Anolis sagrei: one gene and its partners. The main gene of each other region encodes a partner of the protein of the gene in region 2 in a complex. Links are inferred from orthologs where the notes say so. Each region holds a gene or a part of one and is shown on either strand. Other genes may lie near its edges.

Region 1 (8,278 bases), about 68 Mb from region 2:
ATGGAGCTCACGCAAAGCATGATATGGGTTGGATTTGGCAGACGAAGCGAGGAAGCAGTAAGGTGTAGCTGAACAACAATGGACAATAAGGTGTGCAGTCAAGCATGTAAGAAGTGTGCAGGAGGTACCTCATAAGTCATATGGCCTGGAATGTGGATGTCTTGAACCCACAAGAATAGGGTAGCATGTTCATTAAAGAAGAAAGATTGATGTTGGCCTATAAATGCAGAGGACCCCAAGAGTATGCATGCTTCCTGATCCATGGCAACGGGAACGTCCACACCTTCTCGGAGGAAAGCTGATCACATTCGTCCAGAGGCCTGTGTGTGTATGAGTATGTGTGAATGTTTGGAATGTGTGCATGAGAGCTCTCTCTTGATGTGATTCTATAGTGATTGTATTTCAATAAATGTTACATGAATAGTGTTAAAACCAAATTTGGTCTCTAAAGTGTCGAATTGATCTAAACTATCTTACTATTCCTTGAACACTCTGCACAAAAGAACATTTATGTAGAGATGTGTAGTGCTGCCAATAACCAAACTAAGCCAATGTGGGAGCTGTGCAGTAATGCAATCTTCAGCCCCTCTTTTACTGGAACCCTGGGCTCACAGAGTTCTTTTAAGTTAGTGGTACCCAATCTTTGGCTCTCCATATGTTTTGGACCCCATCTACTAGGATTCCTGTAAGCCAAACTGAACTGGGGAATATGGAAGCTAAGATCCAAAACACCCAGAGGATCAAAGTTTGGCAACCACTTTAGGCAAAGCATATTTCTCATGGTACATTAACAAGCTATGCACACAGTTCAAATTACTGCTTGAAGCTAATTAAAGTGTATTTAGAAGTAAGAAGCCTTATATATGCTCTTGCATGCACTACTGCACCTATTCCAATGGTTCCAGTGACAGCTAAGATGACAGAAAAAAGATATATTTTATCTCCTTCCTCTACAACCAGCCAAAGGAGGCCATGAAAGAGACAAAGCAAAGAAATGTCTCAAAGACCTGTCTTGGCTCTTGTTCCTTTCATACAGACTGGTATCTAAACCTATGGATCTTGGACTGTCATATTCACTCTGCTCATGGATTATGGTCTTCTTGTCTGGATGTTCCCAGAGGGTTAGATTGGGTGATCATACTTTATCAGCTCTCACTTCAACACTGCGATGCCACAGGGCTGTGTGTTAAATCCTCAGCTTTACACTTTGTAATCCCATCCACCATACCAATATTATTACCAAATTCGCAGATGATACAACCATGGTGGGGCTTGTGTCTGAAGGGGATGAGTCTGCCTATCAGGATGATGAGGTGGATTGGTTGTTCTTGCGGTGCAGGGACAATAATGTGGTTTATAATATCAATAAGACCAAGGAGCTGATAGTGGACTACAGGAAGAACAGATCAGAAATCCAGCCCTGGTTCATAAATGGAGACCAAGTGAAGTGGGTGGCCATTTTTAAGTTCCTGGGTGTCACTATTAAAGAGGATCTGACCTGGGGCACACATATAGCAATGTTGGTTAAGTGGGCCGAGCAGAGACTATACTAGCTAAGACTTTTAAGGAACCAACAACTGAATGAAAAACTGCTGGTGACTTTCTACTGCTGTGCTATAGAGAGTGTCCTAGCCTACTGCATCTGCGCATAGTTTGGTAACTGCACAGTGCCAGATAGGAAGGTGCTCCAAAGGTATAGGCCCCATAGCCTTAAGAAAGCTCAGAGCATTATTAAAGATCCAGCTCTCCCAGCATATTCTTTTTTTTTTTAATTATTGCCATCTGGCAGATAGTACAGGGTGACAAAGACAAGGGCAAACAGACTGAGAGATAAGATTTTATCCTAGAGCTGTGGCTATGTTGAACTCCATGGTTTCACACTGATGTGGCATTGGGGGCTGTGCAGTGGTGGTTAGAGTGTGGTGGGATGGGTGGTTTGTTTTTGTGATGTGTGCTGGGGAAGGCATTTAGTTTTGTTGTGAAATAGTACAATGACAATAAAGCTCTTCTATCTTGTTCCATTCTGTTCTTGTTCCCTTATGAGGATGGAAAAGTTGAGGGTGAGCAAGATCAGTACAAAGGAACTTACAGCAAGGATACCAAGGAGGTTGGGGAAGAAAACAGATTTGGGGACACTAGTTTTGCACTATAACTTCTAGACTGGAAGCTATAATAAAAAAAAAAACAGCTTTTCCAACTTTTTGTAAAAATAATGAGAAAGGCCTGGAGTTAAATAACACATGCAAGATTTCATTTCACTGTGTAAAGAACTGCCTTTGAAGGTTCTATTTCTTCATAAGTTGTAAGTTCACACATATTTACCTGAGGGGATGCTAGACCCTGGGCATAAGGTGGTATACTGTTGTTTTGATCCATGGCGGCGATCACGTCTCCAGCTAAGTGATGACCACAAGTTCAGGTCACTACAGCAAATTTAGACCATCTGCCTTAAGGAATCTGATGTCCTGGCAATGAGTTATGCAGTCAGCCTTGGCATTTCTGGAACTACATCAGCTCACAGGTGTCCAAAGCCTAGAAGGGAGAATGGCTCATGATACAGAGTTTGCAACAAAACTCAGAACACAGATTACCCCTGTGTTGCCTAAACATTTCACAAAATATTTCTTACGTACTTTCAAAAATAGGTCCATTACCAGCATAAATCTTTGCCAGTTCTATAGTTCTGCATTGATAAACCTCCCCCTCCCCCACAATCTCACATATAATTTCACATACCACATAGACAACATACATGGTGGGAAGTTACCTATAGAATTATAACAAATATTTAAACTTCTTTGAAAATGCAATGATTTCAACTCCACTCTGAAAGATTGTGAAGTAACAGCTTCTCAGATTACTTTTTTCATCTTTTTCTTTCAAACGTCAGCCCTCCTTCCAGGTGTTTTGGACTTCAACTCCCACAATTCCTAATAGTCTACCCCAGGCATGGGCAAACTTTGGTCCTCCAGGGATTTTGGACTTCAACTCCCATCATTCCTCACAGCCTCAGGCCCTTTCCTTTTCCCCCTCAGCCGCTTAAAGGAAGGGGCCTGAGGCTGTGAGGAATGATGGGAGTTGAAGTCCAAAATCCCTGGGGGACCAAGGTTTGCCCATGCCTGGCCTACCGGCTGCTTCTGAGCTGTTCAATGTCCAACCGAAGGAATGCCACTTGTTTGGGGGAGCCCTTTTCCTCAGCCACAGCGCACACAAGCAGGCCCCGTCCACACTGACCATTTATTGCAGTTTGAAGCTGGCTTCCAACCGCGGCGACCAACACGCAACTAACTCCCACAAAAACGAGTAAAGGTGAGCCCCAAAGGCGCCTTGTACAATCCCCGTCCGGGCCTCAAACTGGGATCCAGGCGCGTTTCCCGCTCCGCCGCCTTTCCTGCCCGACCTCAGCGGTGCCTTCGCTTCTCCGCGCTCGTTCTCTCAGGCGGCAGCGGCGCACACTTATCGCGTCATCCAAACACGCCCAATACACAACTCCCGGCTCGACACCTCCCATTAGTGAGTGGGGAGGAGTGGAAGAAGCTTGGAACGCGCATGCGCAACACAGCGACACCTGCAGGCGGAAGGGTGAAACGTACTGCCGAGGAAAGGAACTGAAGGCGACTTCCGGTTCCGGGGCGCCATTTTGCCGTGAGACAGCACCCCAAGGAGGAAGGATGCTCTCGACAGGTGGCTACTTCGAGCCCGCGCTCGGCCTGGATTGCGAGACGAAGCAAAGAGCTGCCGTGCAGAGGCGCTTCTCGCCTTACACCTTCAATGGCGGGTGAGTCCCAGGCCTTTGGGATTAGAAGGGGTTGGCAGAGGCTTCCCCTTGGCCGCCCAGCGGGGTCCAGGCCCGAGCCTTCAGCTATGGTTCTCAAGCTGTGGGTCCCCAGGTGTTTTGGCCTACAACTCCCAGAAATCCCAGCCAGTTTACCAGCTGCTAGGATTTCTGGGAGTTGAAGGCCAAAACGTCTGGGAACCCACAGGTTGAGAACCACTGAGCTATAGGATGAAGGCAGTTTCACCCCGCCTTGCCTGCCATGGCTCAATACTCTGGCATGATGGGCGTTTCAGTTTTGCCAGGTCTTTAGCCCTCTCTGCCCAAGAGAGCCGGTGCCTCATTGAACTACAGTATCTCGAATTCAATTTCATTGAGTTACTACAGCTAAGGCGGTGTCAAACTGCATTAATCCTAAAGTGTGTCTGCCCCCGTGGCCTCCAGAGTCTAGTGCTCAGACCACGATGTTTATGTTTCTCCAGGATCACAATGGTTTCACTTTCTCACTCGCTGTCACCTATTTCAAAAATTCTGTTTAGTTTTTCTTACTTCAAAATGTCCCCTGCAGTTCCTAAGTTTCCAACATAGAAAAAGCTGAGGGATGTGACCAGGGAAGCATTTGCACAGTTAAAACTTGTGCGCCAGCTGAGCCCATACCTTGGGAAGTCTGACTTGGCTATGGTAGTCCACTCTCTGGTTACATCCCATATAGACTACTTCAACGCTCTCTACGTGGAGTTGCCTTTGAAGACGGCCCGGAAGCTTCAACTAGTCCAACAAACAGCAGCCAGGTTGCTAACAGGAGCATACAACCCCCTTGTTGCGCCAGCTCCACTGACTACCGGGCCCAATTCAAAGTGCTGGCTTTGGCCTATAAAGCCCTATATGGTTCTGGCCCAACTTGTAAGGGGAGAACGTGTCTCCCCTTACAAACCATCAAGGACTCTAAGATCGTCTGGGGAGGCCCTGCTCTCGGTCCCACCTTCGTCTCAAGTACGCTTGGCGGTGACTAGAGACAGGGCCTTCTCAGTGGTGGCCCCTCGCTATGGAATACCCTCCCTAGGGAGATTAGATCTGCTCCCTCCCTCTTAACGTTTCGGAGGCGAATTAAAACATGGCTGTTCGAGCAAGCGTTTACAAATGCAGAGTAGCTAATATAGGAAATCAAACGATTTGACAATGGAACTGTACAGTGCTTGATAATAATGAGACGCTAATGTTGTTGTTTTCATTGCTTTTGTGGGGTTTTATATTGCTTAATATTTTAATCTGTGTTATGTTTTTATATGTACTGATTTGTTGGAAACCGCCTTGATTCGCCGATTGGCTGAGAAAGGCGGTATACAAATACAATAAATAAATAAATAAATGTGGTTTAAACTAGCCTAATGAATTCCTATGCACACTACATATCTTATTTGTAGTGCAAAAATCACTTTAAAACAATACAATAATTAAAATGAAGAACAATTTTAACAAATACAAACTTATTAGTATTTCAATGGGAAGTGTGGGCCTGCTTTTGGCTCATGAGATAGGATTGTTGCCGTTGTTGTTGTGTGCTTTCAAGTCGTTTCAGACTTAGGTTGACTGTGAGCGAGGGCCGGGTAAATGACCTTGGAGGGTCGTATCCGGCCCCTGGGCCTAAGTTTGAGGACCCCTGGTCTGATCTGTGTAAGTTCATTAGGACTAATAAAGATATTCTATACCCCTTCCCTCCTTGTCTGGACTTTTCTTCTGGACCTGAGGGCTGCCTCATTCATGAAGACCCTCCCCCCCTCCCAAAGTAGTACTGTTGCTCAGGCATGTAGTAACTTTTATTCCATTGCTTCATATAAGTTCATTTTCTTGAGAACCATGGCTAATAATAATGCAGCTCCAGATATTAAACTGCAGGTCTGAGTGGACCTGAACAGTTTAGGCAGAGGTGATAAATCCTGTGAATTTCAATTCTGCAGAGCCCTGGTGGTCTTCATAGTTGTCTTTTGTTGAAATTATTGGGATTTAAATGTACACAGATGGAACCTATGTTACTTGCTAATACTTTTCTAACTAGTGGTAGTTGCTAACACTATTTCAGTTGCCCAAACTGGGATAACAGCATAAGGAAAATATAGCTAACATCTTAAACATTGGCAGTTATTTATCCAGAAGCTGGAATTTCATGTGGATTCTGAGCACTACATTTAAGTTGTGTGCCTTCTTTTTCTCTTACATGTTTATTTTGGAACCTCATACATTTCCTAAGGACAGTGGGCTTTTTCCATGAGAGCTCAATTGCCTTACTACTTCATCTAAAAACATATTCAGGAAAAATTCAAAGAAAATCCTGGCATTAAGTACAGCATCTCCAAACCACAATCTTGAGCATTTTACTCTTGTGCATGGCAGTTTCAGACCACCCACCTTACTTTGGAACACTAGAGAACACAAAGTTAAACTTGTTTTTGGAGTCTTTTGATTTCAGGTTACATATATTAATTAGTTTAGCTAACATAAAATTAGCAACATCTTGCATTTTCTGTCTTTTTTTTTCTTGAAAGGACTATATTGGCCATTGCTGGTGAAGATTTTTCTATTGTTGCCTCAGACACTCGATTGAGTGAAGACTATGCTGTTCACAGCCGGGATAGTCCAAAATGCTACAAGCTGTAAGTTGAAATTATGTTATTTTGTTTACTCTTCATAATTGGAATCCTGTTAGTGAGGTGTGTGTAAATGCTGTAAATCTTCTACAGATGAAGCACATGGTGCTATTCTGTAGGCCTCTGTGCAACATCCAACATTGCTTATCCCTTTGACAGCTGTCAAATTTTAGGGAGTGAGCATAGAAGCTGCTGCTTATCCATGGAGAAAGGAGAGAGCAGGGAGGCAAGTCAACCATAATTCTAAGGGGAAGAGTGTTCTCTCATTTCCTTCCTCCATCAAGTCCAAGCAATTGGTCAGTTTCTGAATTGCCACTTTGCGTGCTCTCTCTCTCTTTCTTTTGCACAGGTAAGAAGCACAATCAGCTTTTTACAGAATTGTACAGTTCTGGTGGGGAGACTTGGGACAGGATAGGCCTTTGTAACCTACCAGAAAAAGATATATGCTGGTGTGTATGGCAGGCGTGGAACTGTGTGGGCAAAGCTTTCTGCTGTTTCTGCTTGATGTATGACCCATGGCCTTGTTTGTGAATGCTTGTTTTGATTTCTTACAAGCACAGCTGTAATATTTGCTGAACTACCTTTCTACATATACCTGTTTTGTGGAAATAATAAATACTTTCCTTATCTCTTTAAATTTTGTGAAGAATCTTGCCCTTTTGTGGCTTTGAGTGGATCAAATGCTGCCCAACACCAAGGAGCAGCAGGAACTGAGAACAGTTTCACTTTTGATATCAAGAGTGTCTTGATCTTTTAATGTTTTAATTTTGGCCAATGTTCTTTAAATTGAAACATGAACATATATACTTTAAATGTGTATATGTTTCAAGCTGCTACTGCAATTTTCTTTTAAGTTCAAAACCTCTCTATTTTTAAGCCCAAACTTCTTGACTTCTTCCCTAAAATCTTGATAGAGTTGACTTGTAGATTACTTAGGTAAAGTGAATGTTTATTCAAAATTATTTCAGTACATGTTACCACAGGGGTGAACAATCTAGACAGGATACATTTGTGGAGTAAGTTGTACATCTAATGTCACTATACCTTGCATAACTTAAAATTTAATGAGCAATATTAGGATGCCACAGGATATACTTAGTAAATGCCAGCACAGGGCTTACACTGACCATTTAATGTGGATTCAAAGTGGTGTTAAAGAAAGTGGTTTTGCTGTGTAGGTGATTACATAGGAAATCCTGGAACCAGTTTGAGGCTGGGAAGGTGATTACATACAACACTGAACATCCTGTTAAATTTTACTTCCTGTGATGTTTTAAGATAAACTATATGAAAATAATGCTTGATTCTGAATGATACTCTTATTTGGCTTCTCCAAGTGCTTTAATGAATGACCTATATAAGAAAAGATATCAAGATGACTAAAAAGAATATCCATTTTATGTTTGTGTTTATGTAGGACAGACACAACAGTTATTGGCTGCAGTGGATTTCATGGAGATTGCCTTACGCTTACTAAAATCATTGAGGCAAGATTAAAGGTATGAGATTATGAATGTTTCCAAATGAAACTGACCGAACATTTGCCACGGATCAGCAAAGAAAATGATAGCTTAAAATGGCATTGTATCCAGTGGTATTGTTCTGCTTTTATCCTTCCTGGAGTCTTGTCTTTATCCTTACAGAAGGGTCAAATCTTGTACTTGGGATTATGTTTTCATAAGTCATTTCATATGTACTTTGACCATTTGTTGTGACTTCTGTAAAACTAAGTTTTTTTGTGCATTCGTTCTGTTGAAGGAATGGTCAAGATGTATTCATGGTTCCACATATAGTTCACCCGTGGTGAGTTGTGTTCCCCTTGACTCCTTCCAATTTTCTAAACTACCCTTTTTTGCCC
Region 2 (8,127 bases):
CACATTTCCTTGTGCTCATCAGTGCAGGGAAAATGATGAGAATCTGGCCTTTGAGGCCACCACTGCTGCAGACAACCACAAAGCTCCAGGAGAGCCCATTGTGGTCACAAGCATCCTTTTCCTGATTCCTGGTGATGTGGGCACCTCTGCTGATTTCAGCACAGTGTGCCCACAAATGGCTAGGAGTTCTCTGTGGCCATTTGGCAGCAGTGATGGCAACAGGGAAGGTCAGGTGACAGTGCAGCCAGGGAAAATTGGTTTGACCCAGCTGGACCATGTAGACTCCACTCTGCCACTACCGCAGGTCAGGGATATTTTGCGTGGATGCTTCTGAGCCCATGGGCTGGCTTTGGACTGGTTCCACAATGACTAACCAGAGTAGATGAGTCCATGGATTATGTACAGCAGAATGGAAAATCAGCTGTGTAAGTCTCTTGCAGTTTTTGAAAAATAGACAACATTTTCTGATTTTCCTCCCAATCTCTTCCTCTTTCCAAAATATGCCAAGTGTTTCTCATGAGAACAAATTATTAGTAAGGACCTCATCCCATGGTTTGCAGAAAGAGTGTATGCGTGGTGTATTGTCATAGTGTATTGTCCTGTTGCATTTGAAATGAAATCGGATAACATTTCCAACTCCATTATACATTCTATCTTTTTACCATTTCTATTATCTGCATTCTGAGATATCACATGAGCAAGTGTAGTCCCTGTCCATTCCCCATTCTTGCTTTTCCTGTTTTTATAGAGGAAATTTCAAAATTGCAGAAGTCTAAAACCTCATGGAACTTTAAATACCGTAAAGGAGTAATAATGTCTATTTATGTAGTAGTAGTAGTAATTATTATTATTATTATTTTGTTATTACATTGTTATGAAAAAATGAATTACATTATCAATCTTAAAATTATAACTTTTATCACTAATGTGATATGAGCATTACTTATGGTATACTCAAATTCAAGGCAAAAGTAAGTTATTATAAATTGTCTAGGGCTTTCTAAAAGACTCACATTACTACTTCCTATAATTTGTTATAAAAAAGGGAAAAAAGTTAAGAAGATAGCTATGGAGCAATTTGGAGAGCCAAGGTTTCAAGGAAGGAGAAAATACAGGAATGGTTAAGTGGTGATATTTCGAAATCGCGCAATTCCTGGTGATTACATTAATTAAAAGAAATTACCATGAAAGGATTATTCAACAAAACTTTAGGCGAGTAATGGAGCATTGATGCCCATTTGGAGACCACCCATAGAAACACCTATTCCTCGGTGTCACTAAAATGAGGTAACTTGGAAGAATCTGACAGATCCCATCCCACATGTAAATAAGCACCTTCTGCTATTTACGCATGAATCAGGAGCTCAGAAGATATTTCTCCCTGACTCCAATTCTCCCCATTTGTATACACTTTTAAAACACTTCACAGATGGATTACCATGGACAACAGGAAGAAGTCATTTTGTGTCGTATGATGAGCTCTGTTTTTAAAGTGTATAGAAATGGGGGGTGGGGGGTGGTGGTAAACACGACTTGCATCTGACGAGGTCCTACACCTTCTTGGTGAGCAAGAGATAATTGTGGGCTCCTCAGATAACTCTTAGCAGAGACACTTTGAGGTGTTATTTGACACAGGTTGCTTGTTTCCTGAAAGCAAATGCCTTGACATTTAACATGTCACCAAAGAGAATGGCTTCCTTATAATTAAGCATGTCTAACACCAAAACCTAAACAGTGTGTGTGTCAATGGTCTATTCGGCTTTGGGAAAATGGGAACCAGAACAGTAATATTAGCAGTGGAATCTTGTTCATTAGAAAGGAAGCCTGGAAGAATCCACCGGGCGTGTATTTATCTGAGTTGTGTATCAAGCTGCGTGTACTGCATATAACAATCTTAATTAGAAAAGTGAACTGAAGCAAGAAGACAGACTGTCTCCTTACTCCAACATTATCATATTCCTATCAATGTCTCCTTATACTTAGGTAACATATAATTATAGACAAAGGTTAGCATATAATTGTATATGTTGAATAACTGGTTATATGTGTATGTCATTATTTAAAGGCAGGGTTGGCTTTCCTCCAATTGGTGTTTGAGCAAGGAAGAGTGAGTGGGAAAGAGGGAATCGGTACCGAGTGATGAACATAGGGGTTAATTGAACAATGAACAGCCATGAAATAAAATACAATAACAATGGTTTCAGAGTGTGTGCTTTTTAAAAAGAATACATGTATATACAGGTTGAGTCTTCTTATCTGAAACAGTAGGACTAAAGGTGTTTTAGATTTCAGATTATTATTTTGGGGGGATTTTGAAATACCTGTGTTTGCATATATGTGCTTATGAGATCCAAATCGAAGCACAAATTTCATTTATGTTTCATATACACTTTACATTCATAAGTATATATGAAAGTAATTTAATACACAATTTTAAAACAATTTTGTGCATGAAGCCAAGTTTGTGTAGTTCAAATTGTCAAGAAGCAAAGATTTCACCATTTCATGTGTACACTTTTGGATTTTGGAGAATTTTGGATTTTGAATTTCGAAATTCCTGACAAGGGCTGCTCATGCTGTATTTCGCATTCCAAACGGAAACAAAATTTACTTTTGAGTTAGAAATGAATGACTAATGCCCCTTCCGGCAAACTGGTGAACATGTGAGCAGAACAAGGAAGGCCTGTGTAGAAGACATATTGATGGAGAGCCTTGGGCTGATTGTCTCTCTTCCTGCTCAGTCAAGGACTGAATGTTAACTGAGGCATGTTGAGAGAAGGCAACTAAGGCCCCTTCCACACCCGAATAAAATCCCACATTTTCTGTGTTGAACTGGGATATATGGCAGTGTGGACTCAGATAACCCAGTTCAAATAAGATATTGTGGGATTTTCTGCCTTGATATTCTGGAATATAGGGTTGTGTAGAAGGGCCCTGAGTCAAAAGCCAGAAAATACTATTGTTTTCAGGGCACCTGATCAAAAGGTTTGAAACTGGCCCGTAGCCAGTTTTTGATTTGGGGGGGGAGGGGGGGGGGCTGAGTCTGAGTGAAAGAGGGTCTACCCTAGCAAACCTTTTGTATTGTTACCCCAATACCCCCGTGCATATGGGATATATTGAGCATGGTGATCAGATCATGATATGAATAAACATAACAGTTTAAATAATGTACCAGTAAGGCCTTTTCGCAGACCACCATGAGAATTTGTGTGGACATAGAGTAGACTTTTCTCCCCCTTCCTGCCTCCATCCAATCCAACTGCCATTGACTTAGAGCCCTTCCACACAGGTTATCAAGGCAGAAAATCCCACATTATCTGCTTTGAACTGGGTTATCTGAGTCCACACTCAGATAATGTGGGATTTCCTGCCTTGATATTCTGGAATATAAGGCTTTGTGGAAGGGACTTAACTGGGTTCAAAACTTATCTTCTTTAATCTCAATTATATGAGTCTCCACTTCCAAATAATCAAGGATAAGAAGGTAATCTGGGATCAGATCCTGGGATATAGGACAGTGTGGAAGGGGCCTTATAGGGAGTCTTAGGGCTCTTCCACACAGCCATATAACCCAGAATATCAAGGCAGAAAATCCCACAATATCTCCTTTGAACTGGAGTATATGTCAGTGTGGACTCAGGGCCCTTCCACACAGCCCTGTATCCCAGACTATCAAGGCAGGAAATCCCACATTATCTGAGTGTGGACTCAGGGCCCTTCCACACAGCCCTATATCCCAGACTATCAAGGCAGGAAATCCCACAATATCCACTTTGAACTGGATTATCTGAGTCCACACTCAGATAATGTGGAATTTGCTGCCTTGATATTCTGGGATATAGGGCTGCATGGAAGGGCTCTCAGATAACCCAGTACAAAGCAGATATTGTGGGATTTTCTGCCTTGATATTCTGGAATATGTGTGGAAGGGCCCTTAGATAACCCAGGGTCCTTCCAAACAGGTCCTATATCCCAGGTGTTCTGCTTTAAATTGGATTATACGAGTCCCCACTGTTAGATAATCTGGGATAAACAGAAAACCTGGGATCAGATCCTGGGATATAGGGCCCTTCCACACAGTTATAGAACCCAGAATATCAAAGCAGCTAATCCACAATATCTGCTTTGAACTGGGTTATCTGAGTCCACGCTGCCATATTGTTGCTGTTGTTCATTTGTTCAGTCATTTCTGACTCTTCGTGACTTCATGGACCAGTCCACACCAGAGCTCCCTGTCGGCTGTCACCACCCCCAGCTCCTTCAAGGTCAATCCAGTCACTTCAAGCATACCATCCATCCATCTTGCCCTTGGTCGGCCCCTCTTCCTTTTTCCTTCCTAGGTATAACCTAGTTCAAAGCAGATAATGTGGGATTTTACTCAGCCAGGCATGTAGCCGGGGGGGGGGGGGGGGGGGGGGGGGCCTTGAGGGGCTTCAGCCCCCCCCCCCCCCGAAATTCTCATGGTGGTTCGCGAAAAGGCCTTCCTGGTGCATTATTTAAACTGTTAATTCATATCATGATCTGATCACCATGCTCAATATATCCCATATGCATGGGGGTATTGGGGTAATGATACAAAAGGTTTGCTAGGGTAGACCCTCTTTCACTCAGACTCAGCCCCCCCCCCCGAAACTCAGCCCCCCCTGAAAAAAAATTAGGCCCCCCCACCCCGAAATGAAATCCTGGCTACGGGCCTGTACTCAGCTGTGTGGAAGGAGCCTTTGTGTTGATATGTCCTCCCATTCTGGAAGGCGAATGGAAGATCAGTTGCCGAAAAGAACCACATTTACACTTACTAGGCCACATGTTCTGCCATCTGGGCTTCCTTATCAAAATCGCTTATGACTTGGTAAAGAGAGGCGAGTGTCAACTGCTGCCTTTTTGACTGATTTATCCCACATGCACTTTTCTCACACGCATCCCATGGGGTGTGCTTGAAGGGCGCGCCTCTTTCCCTGCAGGGGGCGACGAGCGACAGAGAGAAGCCGCTGCGGTTCGAGCCTCGGAACCAAAGCACTCGGAGTGTTGTTTCCCGGCCGACTGTTTTTGAGAGCGGACCGCTCATCCGGTGGGCTTCTCTCGCACCGCGGGGACCATCGACGGTGGTCTGGAAGGGACTTTCCGATGGAGGAAGAGGAGGCGGTGAGGCTAGGCTGAGGGAAGGGGGCATTTCGGGGAGAAGGAGCGCTCCCTGGAAATACTGGGGGCCCTTCCATACAGCTGAATAAAACCCCACATTAGCCGCTTTGAACTGGAATATATGGCAGTGTGGACTCAGATATCCCAGTTCAAAGCAGGTATTGTGGGATGTTCTGCCTTGATATTCTGGATTATTGGGATGTGTGGAAGGGCCCAGGGAAGGAGAGCAAAAACCCACGTGGAGCAGACAGCAGGCCCTTCTACACAGCCCTATAACCCAAAATATCAAGGCAGAAAATCCCACAATGTCTGCTTTGAACTGAGTTATCTGAGTCCACACTGCTACATGTTCCATTATTTATTTATTTTATTTACACAATTTCTACCCCTCCCTTCTCACCCCTGAGGGGGGACTCAGGACGGCTAACATGGGCAACAATTCAGTGCCATAATATCAATACAACAATGTAAAATCAAATACATAGCAAATTAAAACAGTAACATTAATTAAAATCACATACTTATATACTAACAAAGTTGCCAAATCAAGTCACATAGCCGTTTCCAATTGTCATAACAATCCTATGGTCCGGGTTCAGTATCTAAAGTGCTGCTGTGCCCACTAGCCAAAGGCCTGGCTCCAAAACCACGACTTTAGTTTTTTCCTAAAAGTAAGGAGGGAGGACGCCGATCTGATCTCACTGAGGAGCGAATTCCACAAGCAGGGGGCCACTACCAAGAAGGCCCTGTCCCTCGTCCCCACCAAGCGCGTTTGTGACACTGGTGAGACCGAGAGCAGGGCCCCCGCAGTAGATCTTAAATTATGAGGTGAAACATAGAGAGAGATACGTTCGGATAAGTAAGCTGGGCTGGAGCTTATTTATCTGAAGCAGATAACGTGGGCTTTTATTCAACTTTGGAAGGGGTCTCAATGCTACATAATGCCAAGAGTTGCAGTTTGGAGAGGTACCAGCACTCTTTGGGCCCTTCCACACAGCCCTATATCCCAGAATATCAAGGCAGAAAATCCCACAATATCTGCTTTGAACTGGGTTACCTGAGTACACACTCAGATAATGTGGAATTTTCTGCATTGATACTCTGGGTTATAGGGCTGTATGGAGGAGCCCTTTGGCTAAAGGCCTTGTAAAACTACAACTCTCAGGATTCCATAGCATTGATCCATGTCAACAAAAAGTGTGAATCTGCATTAGTTTTACAGTGTAGATGCACCTTAAATGGGATGCTAAAAAGTGAGCATTTGAGGATATGTGTATTTTGAGAAAAGATGCAGCCAAGTTGAGGGGGAAAGTGCATGCTCCATGCCTATACAAGCAATTATTACATAATTAATAATAAAATGATATTTTATGTGTTACTTGTCTTTTCTCACAGCTTGAGATGAGGAACAACACAGTCAAAACACAACACTATAAAATACATGTCATAAAATCAATACATTAAAACACACCATTGAAAAATACATAAATTAAAATACAATGCAAATAGCTATATTAAAATATAAGTAGAATGTAAAGTTAAAATTCACCATTTAAAATGTATTGGATTCAGGACTGTTGATGTCTGCAAAAAAGGAAACTAAGAAAATTGCCACACCTACGTATGAAATTGGACAATACCCTATTGATATTTTTTAAAACAGTAAATTATAATTGTATAGGAAGAACTTGGCTGTCCTTTGGGGTGTCCAGCTCATCATACAAGTCTGTATGCATCCAACATTTCTAGTTAAAGTCCAACTATCTTACAGTGTTTATAAACAACATCTTTAGATGGAGAAATCTAAAGCTAATTAAATTAGGTGCTTCATACCACAATCCAATGCATTTTGTTTATATAAGCCTAAGCCCCACTATGCTCAATAGAATGTGCTTGTTGGTAAAGGTGCATAATACTTGGGTGCAATTCTAGGCACACTTACTTGGAGGCCCTATTGACCACAATCCACTTCATTTCTAAGTGAACACAGTGATTTTTGTGTGATTATTACATTTAAAGGAGATATTTCTCTCAAATCTTACTTCCATGTCAGTTTATAGTGTGTTTGATTAGTATGAAAAGTAGGTATTTACATTAAAATTGATTTTATTGTTTTCAGAGAGATTTTGATGAACCTTGTGCAAAATGTATTTCTGTCGACTGGGGTGTTACAGAAGAAGGCAAATTTTACTGCAGATCTTGCCACACGGTCACAGAAGTAAGTAATGATCTATGCTGTTATCCCCTTCCACACTCCTAAACTGTGAATCTTTAGTTTAAAATTAAATCATCAGCATTGTCTGGGATCTTTATTAATGATCTTCCTCTGACTAATTAGTGACTCAGAATACAGATGCATATTACAGCCAAAAAATACACCCAAGAGTCTAGAAGAGTATTGTTGTACTGTGTAGGATTCTCAGCCAGGGTCTGCATCCAAGTCAGATTTGTGCATAAAAAGCTGTTTTCCTTCCAGTTGCTTACTTGGGACCGATTTTTGCAGCCTCTGCTGCTGACTCCATTATATTCATAATTAATTTTAATCATGTCATATTTCCATGCTTAAAGGAAAATGTCTGCAAGTATCTGGATGACAATGCAGTGATTAGTAGCGGCCAACATGGGTTTGTCAAGAACAAATCTTTCCAAACTTACCCTAGATCTTTTTTTTTAATTGGGTCATTAATTTAGTAGGTGGTGGGAATGCTGTGAGTGCCATTATTCTGGCTTTCAGCAAACTATTTGATAAAGTCCCCACAATATTTTGATTAGCAAATTGTCTAAATATGGAATAGATGGAAATGCCATCAGATGGATCCATAATTGCTCAAGGAGTTGTTGTCAATGGCTCTGCTTCAGATTGGAAGGCAGCCTCAAGTGGAATGCCACAATTTGCAAATGATGCAAAACTGGATGGGGTAGTCAGTACATTGGAGGACAGGAACAGCATTCAAAATAACCTGGAAAACTGGACTAAACTTAATAAAA
Region 3 (7,888 bases), on a different chromosome or scaffold from region 2:
AGAGTGAACCAAAATTAGAACTCTGGAAACTGGTTAATAACCAGCAGCTAACTGTAAAGAAAGAGTTGGACCCTGGCAGAACTCACGTTTCATGCAGTTTGCGAGATGACGTTGCTGGAAGCTAGTAAGCTTGGATTCTTGCATCATCACTGAAATACAAAAAAAAAAGGACACTAATTTCACAGGAATAAACATAAATATAAGCTGTGTAGGAAAGATAATTCTGGTCTCTGGGAATGTCTCCAGGTAATTAGAAGATGCTATCAAGGTCTTTAAATATAGCATTTATATCAGCTTTCCTGAATCCAGTGTTCTTCACATGTTTTAGGGTACAAATACGTATGGAGTTTGAGTGCTTGCTGTCCAACACGTTTGGGCATCACTACAATAGGGAAGGCTAATATCTGACTATACTCAAAGTGGCTGCCAGTGGACAAATGCTGTTTCATGAACCACTAGCTGTCTAATTTCCAAAATAGAAAGAAACAGTTGTAGCCAGAGGTCACAAACATGATGCTGATACTTGGGACTCTAGGGGGAAAACTGCCAGTTTCCCACATTATCTATATAAAATTGTTGCCCATATTAACCCAGAGTCTTACATTATTCAAAGAGACAGCAGATTCCCTGTAGATGGGAAGGCAGAGAAAAAGTGACCAATATGATAGGAACTGCAGACTGTGAAAGTGGTCAGTGCCATCTGCTCTTTTTCTAAACTTCTGTATCAATATCCATTGGCTGCTGTATATGATTATTTAAATATGCATGTGATCTGAAGACCCATATGCACAGTGAAGTTTATATAGGACACTGTGAGCACATGCTCCAGTACTGCAAAGCAGGGTGTATAATAGCTAGGCAAGGGCTATATATTATATTGACAACACGTTAACTGCCATGGCTCAATGTTACAATCCTGGAACTTGTAAGTTGGTGAGGTACCAGGCACTCTTTAGCAAAGAGGCTGAAGACCTTGTAAAACGACAGCTCTCATTATTTTAACTTTTGAATTGTAATCTACATTTTCATGGTGAGGTTTTGTGTTATATGCATTTTAATAATGTTGTGTTTTATCATTCTGCTGTACCCCACCTGTTGTACCCCACCTTGAATCGCAAAGAGAGGCAGGTAATAAATTATTATTATTATTAATACTACTACTATTTCATAGCATTGAGCCATGATCATTAAAATGGTGTAAATCTGTGTTCTACAGTGTAGATGCACCCTTAATATCATTCTGATCTTCCTGTCACCCTCCAGGTACCTTTTAGCAGTTCTTGTGTTTCTCGGCTGTATTTGATCCCAGTGGGTGCATGCCAGAATCCAGTGCCTTTTGCCACAGCTGGTATGTTTCTCTCTCGGGAAGTCATAGTTATACCTTGAAAAGAAGAATGAAGAAATACATCTTTTATAGCTGTCAGGATCATGATTCCAAGGTGAATTTTGTACAATCCTACCACATGATCCTACAACATCATCAGCTGATGTTGTAGGATCCATTTGTCCATTAAAAGTTTATCACTTTGAGGATTTTTTTCTTTTTTTCTCTTCATTAGAGGTTTTTTTAAAAAAGATATAAAGTGTATACATTGAGACATACTTTGGAAAATACAGTGCATAATTTTGCTCACATTTCGGGTCTGATTGCCATGTAAGCAATCCGTCCTGCTCGTGTTTATTATGTATAAGCCACACTTCTGTGTTTCCAGACCTAATTTTCAGTGCTAGTTTTAACTTAAGCTTTCACATACTTGCAGACTGAATCTCTCCATACTGGCTTCCTCACAAATTGTTTTAGACCTCAGTGTGAGATATGTAAACCTCAAATAAAGAAGGGTCTTTATAGTATTTGTATCTATAGCACAATCTTTGAGATGCAATGGTAACACTTAGCTGCATTTTGAAAAGGTTGCAAAACCCACTATTTCCAGCTGCCTTTTAACTTGGGTGGATATGTGTTCTGAGAGCACTGGGCAAGTTGTAAGCAGCAGCAGATACAACATTTGAGATGTGCTGTTTGTAAACTGTGCTATTTGAAATATTTATTGGACTAATTTGCTTATATATATATTTCAAGCTGTGGATGTTTAACTCTGTGAATACAGAACCTGTTGATATGGAAGGCTGATTGATTTTCAGGGTTAGTCCCCAAAAAATCCTGACAGCTTTTTAAAGTCAAGACAGGCAAGTGACAGTGCCACGGCACAACAGGATTGAGTTCTTTTATACTATGCAGCTTGGCTCGCATGCTTGAGTGGACTAAAGTTATTATGCCACCTCACCCATTTTAATAAAGTGAACCTAAATGATGATGTTGTTGTTGTTGTTGTTATTTGTATTTATATCCCGCTTTTTCTCCCCAAAGAAGATTCAAAGTAGCTACCATTAAAAATCATACAATATGTAAATAAAAACTTAAAACATACAAACATTAAAACAGTATTAAACACAGGACATATTTGTACCTTCCATAATGGAATGAATCAGGCATGAATTGATGTCATATAAATCTACATAAATTGCTGGATGGGGCTGCGAAAGGGACTGCCCTTCTAATGTGAGGAATGGAATAACCTTTTTGGTCTCTTTCATCTCTAAGGCCCCTTCTGCACTGTTATATAAAATCCAGATTATCTGCTTTGAACTGAATTACGGTATATGAAATAAAATGAAACTTTATTTATAGCCTGCCCCAAAGGGACTCAGGGTGGGTTATAGCAAAATACACAATGGCAAACATTCAATGCTGACAATAATAAATAAACAAAAATCAACTCATTAAATTATAAAACAACTAAAAAAACAAGACATAACACAATACACATAATTACATAGTAAATCATTAAAATCTCATTAAAATTTCTAAAAATTGACTAAAGTTGTTGGAGGGGAGATGGTAAACAGCAGGTTAACAGGTATTTGCAGGTAGGCGAGGGTGCATATCAGGGGTTCTCAAACTAAAGCTCGGTGGCTGGATACAGCCCTCCAAGGTCATTTACCCGGCCCTTGCCCGGGGTCAACCTAAGTCTAAAATGACTTCAAAGCACACAACAACAACAACAATCCTATCTCATCAGCCAAAAGTAGGCCCACACTTTCCATTGAAATACTAATAAGTTTATATTTGTTAAAATTGTTCTTCATTTTAATTATTGTATTGTTTTTTGCACTACAAATAAGAAATGTGCAGAATACAAAGGAATTCATTCATTTTTTCCCCCCAAATTATAATCTGGTCTTCCCAACAATTTGAGGGACTGTGACCCGGGCCTCTGTTTAAAAAGTTTGTGGACCCCTGGTGCATATAGATGTACTTAATCCTATATGGCAGTGTAGACACATGCAATCCACTTCAAAGCAGATTCTGTGGATTATCTGATTTGATAATCTGGATTATATGGCAGTGTAAAAGGGACCTCATTTGATTTTGTCATTTCTTTGACACGTGTAATATGTCATATTATATATATGACATATATATAACAATATGTCCAGAGGCGGCCCTAGGTAATTTTCAACGCTAAGCAAACAGTATTTTGCCCCCCCCCCCCCCCCAACCAATCACTGATATATATTTTCTGTTTGTCGTGGGAGTTCTGTGTGCCATATTTGGTTCAATTCCATCATTGGTAGAGTTCAGAATGCTCTTTGATTGGAGGTGAACTATACATCCCAGCAACTACAACTTGCATATGTCAAGGTCTATTTTCCCCCAAGAGCACCCCTGGGCAAAATCAACTATACTGCAAATGCTTACTTTGCGTAATGGGTTGAGCCGCCCCTTAATATGTCATAATATGTCATATTACATATAGGTAATATATGATAAAGCAAGAGCCTTTCTTTTCAGGCCCCTTACATAATGCTGTATAAAATCCACATTGAACCAGATTCTATGGCAGTGTAACCCAGTTCAAAGCAGACATTGTAGGATATTCTGCCTTGATATTCTGGGTTATCTGGCTGTGTAGAAGGACCCTCGGTTTTCCCCAAAAGGTGGCCTTCTAGATGTTTTGAACTTCTACTCCCAGAATTCCACGCTGTTGGCCAAGATGACCAGGGCTTCTGGGAATTGAAGTCCAAAACGGAAGAGTGAAGAGGAGACACAATCACCCCACAACTCAACTGTATAATCTCCATATTTTATCAGCCCCCCACAACAGCCTAATCCCCATCCGAGTTTTGAGGGAGTTTATTGTTATTTTCAAATCTCAAGAGGTGGCGAGGGGTGACCACATGCCTTTTGCTCTTCGCCGGTTCTCCCTCACGCTTACTCGAGCCGGCGGCTCCCGTCACCATGGCAACTAGCTCCCTCGCCCGCTTCCGCTGACGTCAAGGCCTACGCCGGAAGTAGTCCCGCGCGCGGAAGATGCTTGCTTAAGCAGGAGCCGGTGGTGCGCGCGCCTTGCCTCATCGTGTCAACATGTCCGACAACGAGGATAAGTAAGCGAGCATGCCTCTGTGTCTGTGTTGGCGGCGAGGGAGGGAGAAGCGAAGGCCCCGGGGACCTGCCACCGGTAGGATAGCTGGGCCCGGCCCTAGGATTTGCAGTTGACTGAGAGCCGGCTCTACACCGGGCCTCGCACTGTGGCCCTCCAACTCCCAGAAACCTTCTCCAGCTTGCTCAGTAGTCAGGAATTCGGGGAGTTAGAGGCCCAAACAGCGGGGGTGTGAGGAGGCCTGCTCCACACTGCAGAATTAGTTCACTACACCACTGCCATGGCTCAGTGCTATGGAGTCCGGAGAGTTGTAGTTAGGTGAGGCACCAGGTCTCTTTGGCAGATAAAGCCAAAGTCCTTGTTATTTATTTATTTCGAACATTTTTACCCCGCCCTTCTCAACCCCTAGGGCAGTGTTTCTCAACCTGGGGGGGGGGGGGGGTCGCCAAAGACCACCAGAAAACAGTATTTTCTGTTGGTCATGGGGCTTCTCTGTGGGAGGTTTTCGCCCAATTCTATTGTTGGCGGGGTTCAGAATAATCTGAGTTTAGGTCAAATATAAATCCCAGAAACTACAACTCCCAAATGTCAAGATCTATTTTCACCAAACTCCACCAGTGTTCACAGTTGGGCATAATTGAGCATCTGAGTTTGGTCCAGATCTATCATTGTTTGAGTTCACAGTGCTCTCTGGATGTAGGTAAACTACAACTCCAAAACTCAAGGCCGGTGCCCACCAAACACTTCCAGTATTTTCTGTTGGTCATTGGAGCTCTGTGTGCCAAGTTTGGTTCAATTCCATCGTTTTTGGAGTTCAAGATGCTCTTTGAGTGTAGGTGGCCTACACATCCCAGCAGCTACAACTCCCAAATGAAAAATCAACCCCCCCCCCAACCCTACCTGTATTCAAATTTGGGCCTATCAGGTATTTGTGCCAGATTTGGTCCAGTGAATGAAAATATATCCTGCATATCAGATATTTACACTGCAATTCAGAACAGTAACAAAATTACAGTTATGAAATAGCAGCTAAAATAATGTTATGGCTGGGGGTCACCACAACATGAGGAACTGTATTAAGGGGTCGCAGCATTAGGAAGGTTGAGAACCACTGCCCTAGGGGGACTCAGGGCGGCTTCCAATTGGCAATAATTCAATGCCGCATCATAAAATACAAAATAGCAAATATAACAATTAAAAACATGAACATTAATAAATAAAGATTAAACAGTATACTTGCGATCCATTTAGCTGTTGGTGGCTATTTATCTAGCCATATACTAATGATTACTCCACTTAACTTATCCAAATCCACTTCCAAGCTATAGTCAAATATTATGAATTGTCCTTTAACCTAATTGCCCGAAGGCCTGGTATAAGTCTCAGGATTCCCTAGCACTGAGCCATGGCAGTTAGTGGTGCATTCAGCAGGCGTGGGCAAACATGAGCCTTCTACATGTTTTGGACTTTCTTTCCAACAATTCCTAACAGCCTCAGGCCCCTTCCTTTCCCCCTCTCAGCCGCTTAAGGAATTGTGGGAGTCCAAAACACCTGAAGGGTCCAAATTTGTTGACATGCATGAAGTTGTGGCTGGTGGCTTCCAGACCAGTAATAATAATAATAAATATTAATTTTCATTTATACCCCGCCACCATCTCCCCAATGGGGACTCAGAGCGGCTTACACAGGGCCAAGCCTGGACAACATATTACAGCAATAAAATCAAAACATAAACAACAAATGACAACATCAAAGCACATTAATAATAATAAGAAAAAAAGCAGTCTTAAAATAACATTCTAATAAACACAATCACAATAACGATAACAGTGGGCAGGCCACATGTACAGGATAAAACCATTTAAAAACTGTGATGAGATAAAATACGAGCAAGACTGGTAGATCTACTTCTAGTTTTAAGGAAGCTATTCAAGGCACTGAACATAGACCTCATCATACTAGAGATAAAATCCAATTTCTGCCTCTTGCAGAATTTAGGGACTTTAACAGTCTCACTAAACTACAAATCCCAGAATTCTGCAGGGGGAAGAAACCGGATTTGAAGTGGATTTTTTTCTCTAGTGTGACGAAGTGGCTAGTCCCAGGATTCCATAGCACTGAGCCATGGCCATTACAAAGTGCATTGCTTCTACAGTGTGGATACACCCTAAGGCTGGAGTCCTTCATCATAATAATAACAATAACAACTTTATTCTTGTATCACGCCAGCATCTCCCCGAAGAGACTCAGGGCTGCTTACAGATGGCACAAAGTGCCTAAAAATCAACATAAAAGTGAACACAATACAAAATACAATAAAATAAAACACTTGTACATATAAAATTCAGATTCAGTCAAGCTGCGATCCTCTAACCATGACAGTAAATTACTGGCACCATGGCCAGGGTGTAAACATTGAAATAAAATAAGTGCCATCTGCAGTAATGGAGAGAGGGCATGGGATTAGGTGCTTCATAAAACTGCATGAGATGCAACCAAGGTGCCCTTCCAGACAGGCCCTATAGCCCAGGATCTGATCCCAGGGTTTTGGTTTATCTCAGGTTATCTGGCAGTATGAACTCAACCAGTTTAAAGTAGAAAACCTGGGATCACATTCTGGGATATAGAACCTGTCTGGAAGGACCCCATGTCAGTTAAAGTGGAGTCAAAAGGACTGCCGGTACTGAGTCTTTTTATGCACACACAGAGGTAATATACCATTTTAAATACAGGCAGTCCCCGAGTTACAAACATCTGGCCTACAAATGACTCATACTTAAGAACAGGGGTGAGACAACAGGAAGTGAGAGAAATATACCCCTCAGAAGGGAAATTCACTCCTGAAAGAGCATCATGGGGAAAAGGTGTCTTTATCACCAATTCTTGTTTCCAGAACAAGCCCAATTTTTCACACTTCAATTATCACAGGGACGGAATGTGAGGTGAAATCTTCTTAATAGGGGGACATGAGAGAAGCCTCCTCGCAGGATTGCAAGACATCCGGGCGTCCCCTGGGCAACGTCTTCGTAGACGGCCGATTCTCTCAACCCAGAAGCAACCAGAGACGACTTGAAGCATGCAAACAAGGAAGCAAAACAACCAACGGTCCTTTTCAGGACCAACCATGACAATAATCGCACATGTTAGACGACATGATCACATCGGTCGCGCCAATCCCTGAGGAATACGAACATTTTATTGAAATAGTGAAAACCTGCTCACGGGCCTCTATACCGAGAGGCTGCAGAACCCACTACCTCCAGGGCATTACTCCTGAAACAGCCGCCTTGTTGGAAAACTATTACAGGCTCCACAACGAAGACCCATTCAGTGAGCAGACTCTTCAGGCAGCGCAGAGCATTGTGTCCTCCATCTCTGAAGCCAAGAAAGAACAGTGGATCAAGTTGATCACAGAGGTCGACATGGGTAGGAGCAGCCAGAAGGCG
Region 4 (7,900 bases), on a different chromosome or scaffold from region 2:
AAATTTAATTACCAATGGCCAGCAATTACAAATGGACCTAGTCAGCTATGAGAATACATACACTGTTCTGTCAAAACTCGTTAGGTTACAACCTTTTTAACGTTCATCCAGATCAGTGATACATTTATCCAGTTTATGAATCCTTTTTGTAGATACGGGCCTTGCAATAGCTGTGATAGAGTAACTTGCCTTTGCAGGTGCAGAATGCACCTTGCTGTAACTTTGATAAAACCCTGTATCAATCGACATTATTGACTGTAACTTTGATAACACATTTCAAATAAGGAGTTTCTCTGCAGGTGTTTAGGCAGATGAGGAGATTGTAACCCTTTATGGAAGGAGGGACCAATGGATATGGAAAAAAGGTATATAAAAATGTGCTGAACTTTGCTTATGTGTGCCTACTTACTAAGACAAGACACCTGAGGCTTGCAGGATCGTATGATAATAAAGCTTTGCTACTTCGCCAACTTGGTCCAAGTTTCTCTTTAGGCCCCAAAGACCCCTGTTTATATCATGTACATATATGCAAGGTTTTCTCCTTATTTTATACCAGTAAACATACCATACTAGAATCATAGAATCATAGAGTTGGAAGAGACCTCATGGGCCATCCAGTCCAACCCCCTGCCAAGAAGCAGGAATATTGCATTCGAAGCACCCCTGACAGATGGCCATCCAGCCTCTGTTTAAAAGCCTCCACCACACTCTGGGGCAGAGAGTTCCACTACTGAATAGCTCTCACAGTCAGGAAGTTCTTCCTAATGTTCAGATGGAATCTCCTTTCTTGTAGTTTGAAGCCATTTTGCTTTCTTCTCCTTGTTATTGAAAATACTACTTACGCACCATATACGGTAAATATTTTAGTCTTTACAGGTATTCCAAAATCCCAAACACTACGGTCTTAAGCATTCCTGGTAATGAATATTCAATCCCATTGGCTGACAGTGCAGAAAGCTTTCTTTCTTTTTTTAAAAAAAGTTTCTTGATTAGTACATCTGAATGTCAATTCAACTTGGAAAACTGAAATAATACCAGAATAATATTGATATAAACTTCAATTCTGGCAACCCATATCTTTATAATGTTGCAATACAGTAGAGTCTCGCTCATCCAACATTCTGTATTATCCAACGCTGTCTGCTGCCCGTCCGGATCCACAGTTGTTTCAATACATTGCAATGTTTTGGTGCTAAATTCGTAAATACAGTAATTACTACATAAAGTTACCGTGTACTGAACTGCTTTTTCCATCGATTTGTTGTAAAATGTGATGTTTAGGTGCTTATTTTGTAAAATCATAACATAATTTGACATTTAATAAGCTTTTCCTTAATCTCTCCTTATTATCCAAATTTTTCTCTTATCCAATGTTCTGCTGGCCCGTTTATGTTGTATACGTGAGACTCTACTGTACTTCTTGCAATGCAGTTCTGCCGACTCCCTCTTTATTACGTTATTGCAATACTTCTTGCAGTGCAACTCTGCCAACTCTCCTCTTTATTACACCATTGCAATAATGCTTGAAAAGCAGATACTCACCCCCAACAAGTTCTTCCAAAGTAGGTACGTGTAAAGCAAACTTCTCAACTTTGGCCATGTTTTATTTCACCTTGTAAAATTTGAAGCAAGCTGCAAAAGGGTCAGAGTACACCAGGGAACAAGTCAAAGATCTGTTAATGAACACACTGGCTTAGTGATTAAGCATAATGACACAAGCTGTATACACAAACTTCTTATGACTCACGTCATCCTTCATTTTATGAGGGACTAAAGGAAGGTTGTACATCTGTCTTCACCTGGGGGTGCATCTACACTAGGCATGGGCAACCTTCAACCCTCCAGGTGTTCTGGACTTCAACTCCCACAATTCCGAACAGCCTACCGGCTGTTCGGAATTATTATTATTCTAAAGTATTATCCAATCAGATAAGAAAAGCTGTAATAGCCTCCATGATGCCCAATTGGACAACCCATTTCTTGTAATGAGCTTCTTAGCTAGCAAAGCTGGTGTCTTTCCAAGACAAAAAAAGATTAAATACTGTTGGCTTTCTCAAGGCTAACATAGGTTGCTTCTACACCATAGAAATAATTTATTTCCTATATTTATATCCCACCCTTCTCCCCCCAAAGGGGGACTCAGGGCAGCCTAACAAAAGCATCATATGATGCTATCATCATAAAAACAACCACAGAACAATCAAAATGTTAAAAATTAAAACAATTAATTGAGACACATCCATTAAAATCGAAATCCAAAAACCAGTCCGGGTCAATTCATTGCCATAAGATGTGTGATCTTCTTTCATTTGTGCTCACTGATCAAACACTTGGTCCCATAACCAGGTCTTGATTTTCCTTCTAAAAGACAAGAGGGAGGTGGCCAATCTGGCATCTCTAGGGAGGGCATTCCATAGGCGGGGGGCCACTGCTGAGAAGTCCCTGTCTCTCATCCCCATCAACCATGTTTGTGATAGTGGTGGGATCGAGAGCAGGGCCTCTCCTGAAGATCTTAAACTTCGTGATGGTTCGTGGCAAGAGATACGTTCGGACAGGTAGTCTGGGCCAGAACCATTTAGGGCTTTAAAGGTTATTTATTTGTCGTGTCAGAGCAACGACTCCATTATATTACATTTCTAACAGAACAAAGCAAACAAATACAAAACTTGTGAGTGCACCAGGTGATCAGTGGTTTGCTGTTCTCCACACTCGCATGTTGAGGATTCCACTTTGTAGCCCCATTTCTGAAGGTTGGCTCTGCATCTCGTGGTGCCAGAGCGCAGTCTGTTCAGCGCCTTCCAAGTCACCCAGTCTTCTGTGTGCCCAGGAGGGAGTCTCTCATTTGGTATTAGCCATTGGTTGAGGTGCTGGGTTTGAGCCTGCCACTTTTGGACTCTCGCTTGCTGAGGTGTTCCAGCGAGTGTCTCTGTAGATCTTAGAAAACTATTTCTAGATTTAAGTCATTGATGTGCTGGCTGATACCCAAACAGGGGATGAGCTGGAGATGTCTCTGCCTTGGTCCTTTCACTATTGGCTGCCACTTCCCGGCGGATGTCAGGTGGTGCAATACCGGCTAAGCAGTGTAATTTCTCCAGTGGTGTAGGGCGCAGACACCCTGTGATAATGCGGCATGTCTCATTAAGAGCCACATCCACTGTTTTAGTGTGGTGAGATGTGTTCCACACTGGGCATGCGTACTCAGCAGCAGAGTAGCATAGCGCAAGGGCAGATGTCTTCACTGTATCTGGTTGTGATCCCCAGGTTGTGCCAGTCAGCTTTCGTATGATATTGTTTCTGGCACCCACTTTTTGCTTGATGGGGACATGAGAGAAGCCTCCTCGCAGGATTGCGGGACATCCGGGCGTCCCCTGGGCAACGTCTTCGTAGACGGTTGATTCTCTCGCCACAGAAGTGAAGCTTTAAAGGTTAAAACCAGCACTTTGAATTGTGCTCGGAAGCTGATCGGTAGCCAGTGGAGTTGGCATAACAAAGGAGTTGTATGTTCCCCGTATGTCACTCCGGTGAGCAATCTGGCTGCCAACCTGGCAGTCTTCAAAGGCAGCCCCATGTAGAGTGCGTTGCAGTAGTCTATTCGGGGATGTAACAATTTGATATCTCTTTAACTGCAATGGCACAATGCTATGGAGTGATGAGTTCTAGTTTAATGGGGTATCCTGCTTTATGTGGCAGAGAAGACTAAAGACCTTGGAAAACTACAACTCCAAGGTTTTCACAGTATTGAGACAGCAGTTAAAGTGGTTTCAATCCGCATTAAATTACAGTGTAGATGCAATTCATTAATATGAATTAAGTAAAACTTGTTAATACAAATCCTATGCAAGAAATGAGAATAACTGACATCAATTTCAAAAAACTCAAGGGATTGTGTGCAAAAGACTGGGCAAATATTTAGCAGACTTGCACAATTCTGTACATGCTTCAAAGCTCTATTAATATCCCTTTTAAAAAGTGCATTAAATGCCTGTTACTCAAAGCCCCCCATTTGCATGCTAAACTACTCACAAGACTGGAACGCGCTGCTGGGAACAGAACGCCACCTTTTTGCTCCTCGCGAGCCTCCCTCCTCGGAGAAGCCTCTCTAACCAAGTTCTAGTCATGTTACCGCTTGGGCGGTCCAACCAATCCCAGCATTCTACGCTGCCACTCTCAAGATGGCACTCGCGCCCGCGGCCCTCCTTCCCTCCTTCCCGTCAACCCCGAAACCCAACTCTCGCGAGAACGGCTAAACTATTTAAGCGGGCCCTCTTCAAGCGTTCGGCCTTGTTTGGCTTCGGGAACGGAACTGTTGTGAGTCGTGAATGAATAAGTATCCATTGTCATCCGCTTGAATTAATGCTCAGGTTAGAGCGTGGCCTGTTAATTGATAATTTAGGGATATTTTTTGTTTATTTTGGGTACGATATCGGGGTGATTAAGGGAAGATAAAGGGGTGAAAAGCGAGGTTGAGTTTCCTCCCCTCTGGCGCCATTGCTTCTCATGGGCCTTGGCTAGAATTAGGCTTTCAGATTTCCCTTAAATGAAAGGCCCAGGAGTCTTACACTCCAAATAATCATCCAATATACTTGCTTTCCAAAAGTTTTGGAATGTTAGTTTAATATTTCATATTTCATGGCATGGATTGATTTGTATTTTATAATTCCATGTTTGCATCTCAATTTCATATTTTATGGCATGGATTGATTGATTTGTATGTTATAATTTCATGTTTGCATCTCAATAAAGAGATACAAATAGAATATGCATAAATATAACAATTGTAATATTTTATTTACAATTGAATAGGCTTATATTTTATTTTTACATACTGCACTTATATATATATATAGAGAGAGAGAATATATATATATTTATATATAGAATATATATATATATAGTATATATGTGTATATTTATATGAATAAAAATGTAATGTTCATTTGTGGGATTAACATAACTCAAAAACCACTGGACGAATTGACACCAAATTTGGACACAAGACACCTAACAGTCCAATGAGTGACCATCACTCATAAAAACACTGAAAACTACAGCAGACGAGGCTTAAAAAACAAAAAATGCATTACAACGCATGCACAAAACCATCTATGTACACAAATATACATATATACACAAACATATACACACACATACACACACAAAACACATATACACAAGGGACAGTCACACACACGAATTTGTGCTATGTTAATAATATATTATTAGCATATACTAATATTGTGCTATGCTAATTTATTGTATGTACACATAATACTGATAATATAATGAAATGAAATATAATACTTATAATAATACTAGCTGTCCCCTGCCAAGTGTTGCTGTGGCCCAGTCTGTGTATATGTGTTTTGTGTGTGTGTGTATTTGTGTATATGTGTATATATGTGGTTTTGAGAATGTGTTGTAATGTATTTTTTGTTTAAGTCTCTCGCTGTGTTTTTCAGTGTTTTTATGAGTGATGGTCACTTGTTGGCCTGATAGGTTTATTGTATCCAAATGTTTGTGTATATGTGTATATATGTGGTTTTGAGCATGCGTTGTAATGTATTTTTTTTATTTTTTGGTTTTTTAAGTCTCTCCCGCTGTGTTTTTATGAGTGATGGTCACTTGTTGACCTGATAGGTCTATTGTGTCCAAATTTGGTGTCAATTCACCCAGTGGTTTTTGAGTTATGTTAATCCTACAGACGAACATTACATTTTTATTTATATGGATATAATTTTTATTTTTTGGTTTAAGTCTCTCCCGCTGTGTTTTTCAGTGTTTTTATGAGTGATGGTCACTTGTTGGCCTGATAGGTGTATTGTGTCCAAATTTAGTTTTAATTCACCCAGTGGTTTTTTGAATTATGTTAATCCCACAAACGAACATTACATTTTTATTTATATTGATATAATAATATTAACATATTATACTAATATTGTGCAATGCTAATAATATAATATATTGTATATACATATAATATTGATAATATTATAATGTAATGCAATATAATAACCATAATAATGTAATATAGTAATACTAATGCATTAAATATAATTGCTCCTGATAATATATAATATACTTTTAATTATATATTTTAAATTGTAAGATTTTTGATGGTGAGCCGCTTTGAGTCTGTATGGAGAAATAAAATGGGATATAAATAAGTTATATATATATATATATACACACACACACACTATATGCACACTATGTGTGTATATATATAGAATATATATAGGGGGAAATGCAATATAAGCCTATTCGGTTCAATTATATATGTGTGTGTGTAAGCTGCTGCCTTTTGGTGGTGCAGCGGCTTAAACCACAGAGCTGCTAAACTTGCTGACCGCAAGGATGGCAGTTTGAATCCAGGTAGTGGGGTGAGCTCCTGCTGTTAGCCACACCTTCTAGCAACCTAGTAGTTTGAAAACATGCAAATGTGAGGAGATCAATAGGTACCGCTTCGATGGGAAGGAAACGGTGCTCCATGCAGTCATGCCGGCCACATGACTCTGGAGGTGTCTATGGACAATGCTGGCTCTTTGGCTTAGAAACTGAGATGAGCACCACCTCCAGAGTTGAACAAGATTAGACTTAATGTCAGGCGAAACCTTTACTATATGTGTATAGACACGTGTGTGTGTGTGTGTGTGTGTGTGTGTGTGTGAGAGAGAGAGAGAGAGAGAGAGAGGCTCCGGTCTTGTAAACAATCCCTTGAGAATAAAAACCTGTTGATGTCAGTGAGGATCATTTATTGCATAGGATTGTATTGTTAGGTCCTTAATTCATACGTTTTAGTAGATATGAGGTGAATCTACATTGTAGAATTAATGCAATTTAACACCATTTGAGATTCCATTACTATGGAATCATGAGGGTTGTAGTTTTGCCGCCTCTATAAATGAATTGCCTGGCAATATTTTGAAAATGCCCGGTTTTTATGCCTCTTTTTTAGACTTATTATAAGGGTATTAACTTTTAGAATCTGAATAGTAAGAGGAAGCTCCTTGTTTTTTGTAAATGTTCTCTAACTTGCAATATATTTGCTCTCAAGATTTTCAAAATACTAACATTTCTCTCCTGATTCCCCCCAATTCTATGCTAGGAGCTGAACATGGCTGATATTTGTGAGACAGAAGACTCTGCTGCACATCACCAGGATTCAAAAAAGTGAGTCCTTAATCTGTACATAAAATTGCAAGGTGTCGTCATAGGGTTTCTGAAGTGCAGCTGCATCTATTACCTGTATTTGCAATCTTGGCTGAGCTTCCTGGTAGAAAAGTTTCTAGCTGTAGGGCTTGCAACTTTGCTAAAATTGAAATTATTCAGTTTGCATATATTATCTGTGTGTCGTTGAAGAATTGTACATCCTGTGTGATTTCTTCCAGTTGGTGAAATATGCTTCTGAGTTACTAGAGTGTATTATTATGTATTATGGCAGGCACGGGCAAACTTTGGCCCTCCAGGTGTTTTGGACTTCAATTCCCACAATTCCTAACACAATTCCCCATACAGCATATCAAATTGTTCTACCAGATTAGGTTGATGGGAGATACTATATTTTTATTTATATCCTGCTTTTAGTAGGGTTATCCAGAAAATAAGGTTACAAGGCATGTAGCTCTCGCAGGGAATTTTCTTGTGGGAAATTGGTATTGCTGTGTGGGAAGCCAACGGAGGCAAATGAGCAGTGCCAGTCGTCAGTAGCTCATCAACTGATGTGAAGGTTAGAGATGAGCATCCTCATTCCATTTCCCTTCAAGTGCGAAGTTTGCGTTGTAATACCTCAATGCAAAGGGCACAAATGCTGCCGCGGTTCATCACAAAATTGATTCAGTTTATGGAGAGGACGTAATGTCAAGAGAGCATGCGACAAAATGGGTACAGAATATATTGTGAG

What was found.
Region 1: TAF1B (region 2) and TBP share a complex: the UniProt entries of both Homo sapiens proteins name them as parts of the transcription factor SL1/TIF-IB complex. The link is inferred for Anolis sagrei from reciprocal best matches to the Homo sapiens genes TAF1B and TBP.
Region 3: TAF1B (region 2) and POLR2F share a complex: the UniProt entries of both Homo sapiens proteins name them as parts of the pol I pre-initiation complex. The link is inferred for Anolis sagrei from reciprocal best matches to the Homo sapiens genes TAF1B and POLR2F.
Region 4: TAF1B (region 2) and TAF1D share a complex: the UniProt entries of both Homo sapiens proteins name them as parts of the transcription factor SL1/TIF-IB complex. The link is inferred for Anolis sagrei from reciprocal best matches to the Homo sapiens genes TAF1B and TAF1D.

The regions. Positions count from the first base shown.
Region 1 is NC_090021.1:62,171,963-62,180,240, forward strand, and holds the start of TBP (TATA-box-binding protein), read right to left. Parts: upstream 3,473-8,278; 5' UTR 3,235-3,472; intron 2,533-3,234; 5' UTR 2,377-2,532; coding exon 2,323-2,376; intron 1-2,322. Other genes in the region: PSMB1 (proteasome subunit beta type-1), read left to right, coding at 3,672-3,778, 6,319-6,426, 7,838-7,919. UniProt on the Homo sapiens protein: The TFIID basal transcription factor complex plays a major role in the initiation of RNA polymerase II (Pol II)-dependent transcription.
Region 2 is NC_090021.1:130,630,683-130,638,809, reverse strand, and holds the start of TAF1B (TATA box-binding protein-associated factor RNA polymerase I subunit B), read left to right. Parts: upstream 1-4,988; 5' UTR 4,989-5,124; coding exon 5,125-5,142; intron 5,143-7,258; coding exon 7,259-7,357; intron 7,358-8,127. UniProt on the Homo sapiens protein: Component of RNA polymerase I core factor complex that acts as a GTF2B/TFIIB-like factor and plays a key role in multiple steps during transcription initiation such as pre-initiation complex (PIC) assembly and postpolymerase recruitment events in polymerase I (Pol I) transcription.
Region 3 is NC_090025.1:164,562,729-164,570,616, reverse strand, and holds the start of POLR2F (DNA-directed RNA polymerases I, II, and III subunit RPABC2), read left to right. Parts: upstream 1-4,341; 5' UTR 4,342-4,426; coding exon 4,427-4,446; intron 4,447-7,888. Other genes in the region: C5H22orf23 (UPF0193 protein EVG1), read right to left, coding at 87-149, 1,268-1,381, 4,278-4,302. UniProt on the Homo sapiens protein: DNA-dependent RNA polymerase catalyzes the transcription of DNA into RNA using the four ribonucleoside triphosphates as substrates.
Region 4 is NC_090023.1:19,473,283-19,481,182, reverse strand, and holds the start of TAF1D (TATA box-binding protein-associated factor RNA polymerase I subunit D), read left to right. Parts: upstream 1-4,266; 5' UTR 4,267-4,308; intron 4,309-7,105; 5' UTR 7,106-7,114; coding exon 7,115-7,170; intron 7,171-7,900. Other genes in the region: C3H11orf54 (ester hydrolase C11orf54 homolog), read right to left, coding at 1,543-1,600. UniProt on the Homo sapiens protein: Component of the transcription factor SL1/TIF-IB complex, which is involved in the assembly of the PIC (preinitiation complex) during RNA polymerase I-dependent transcription.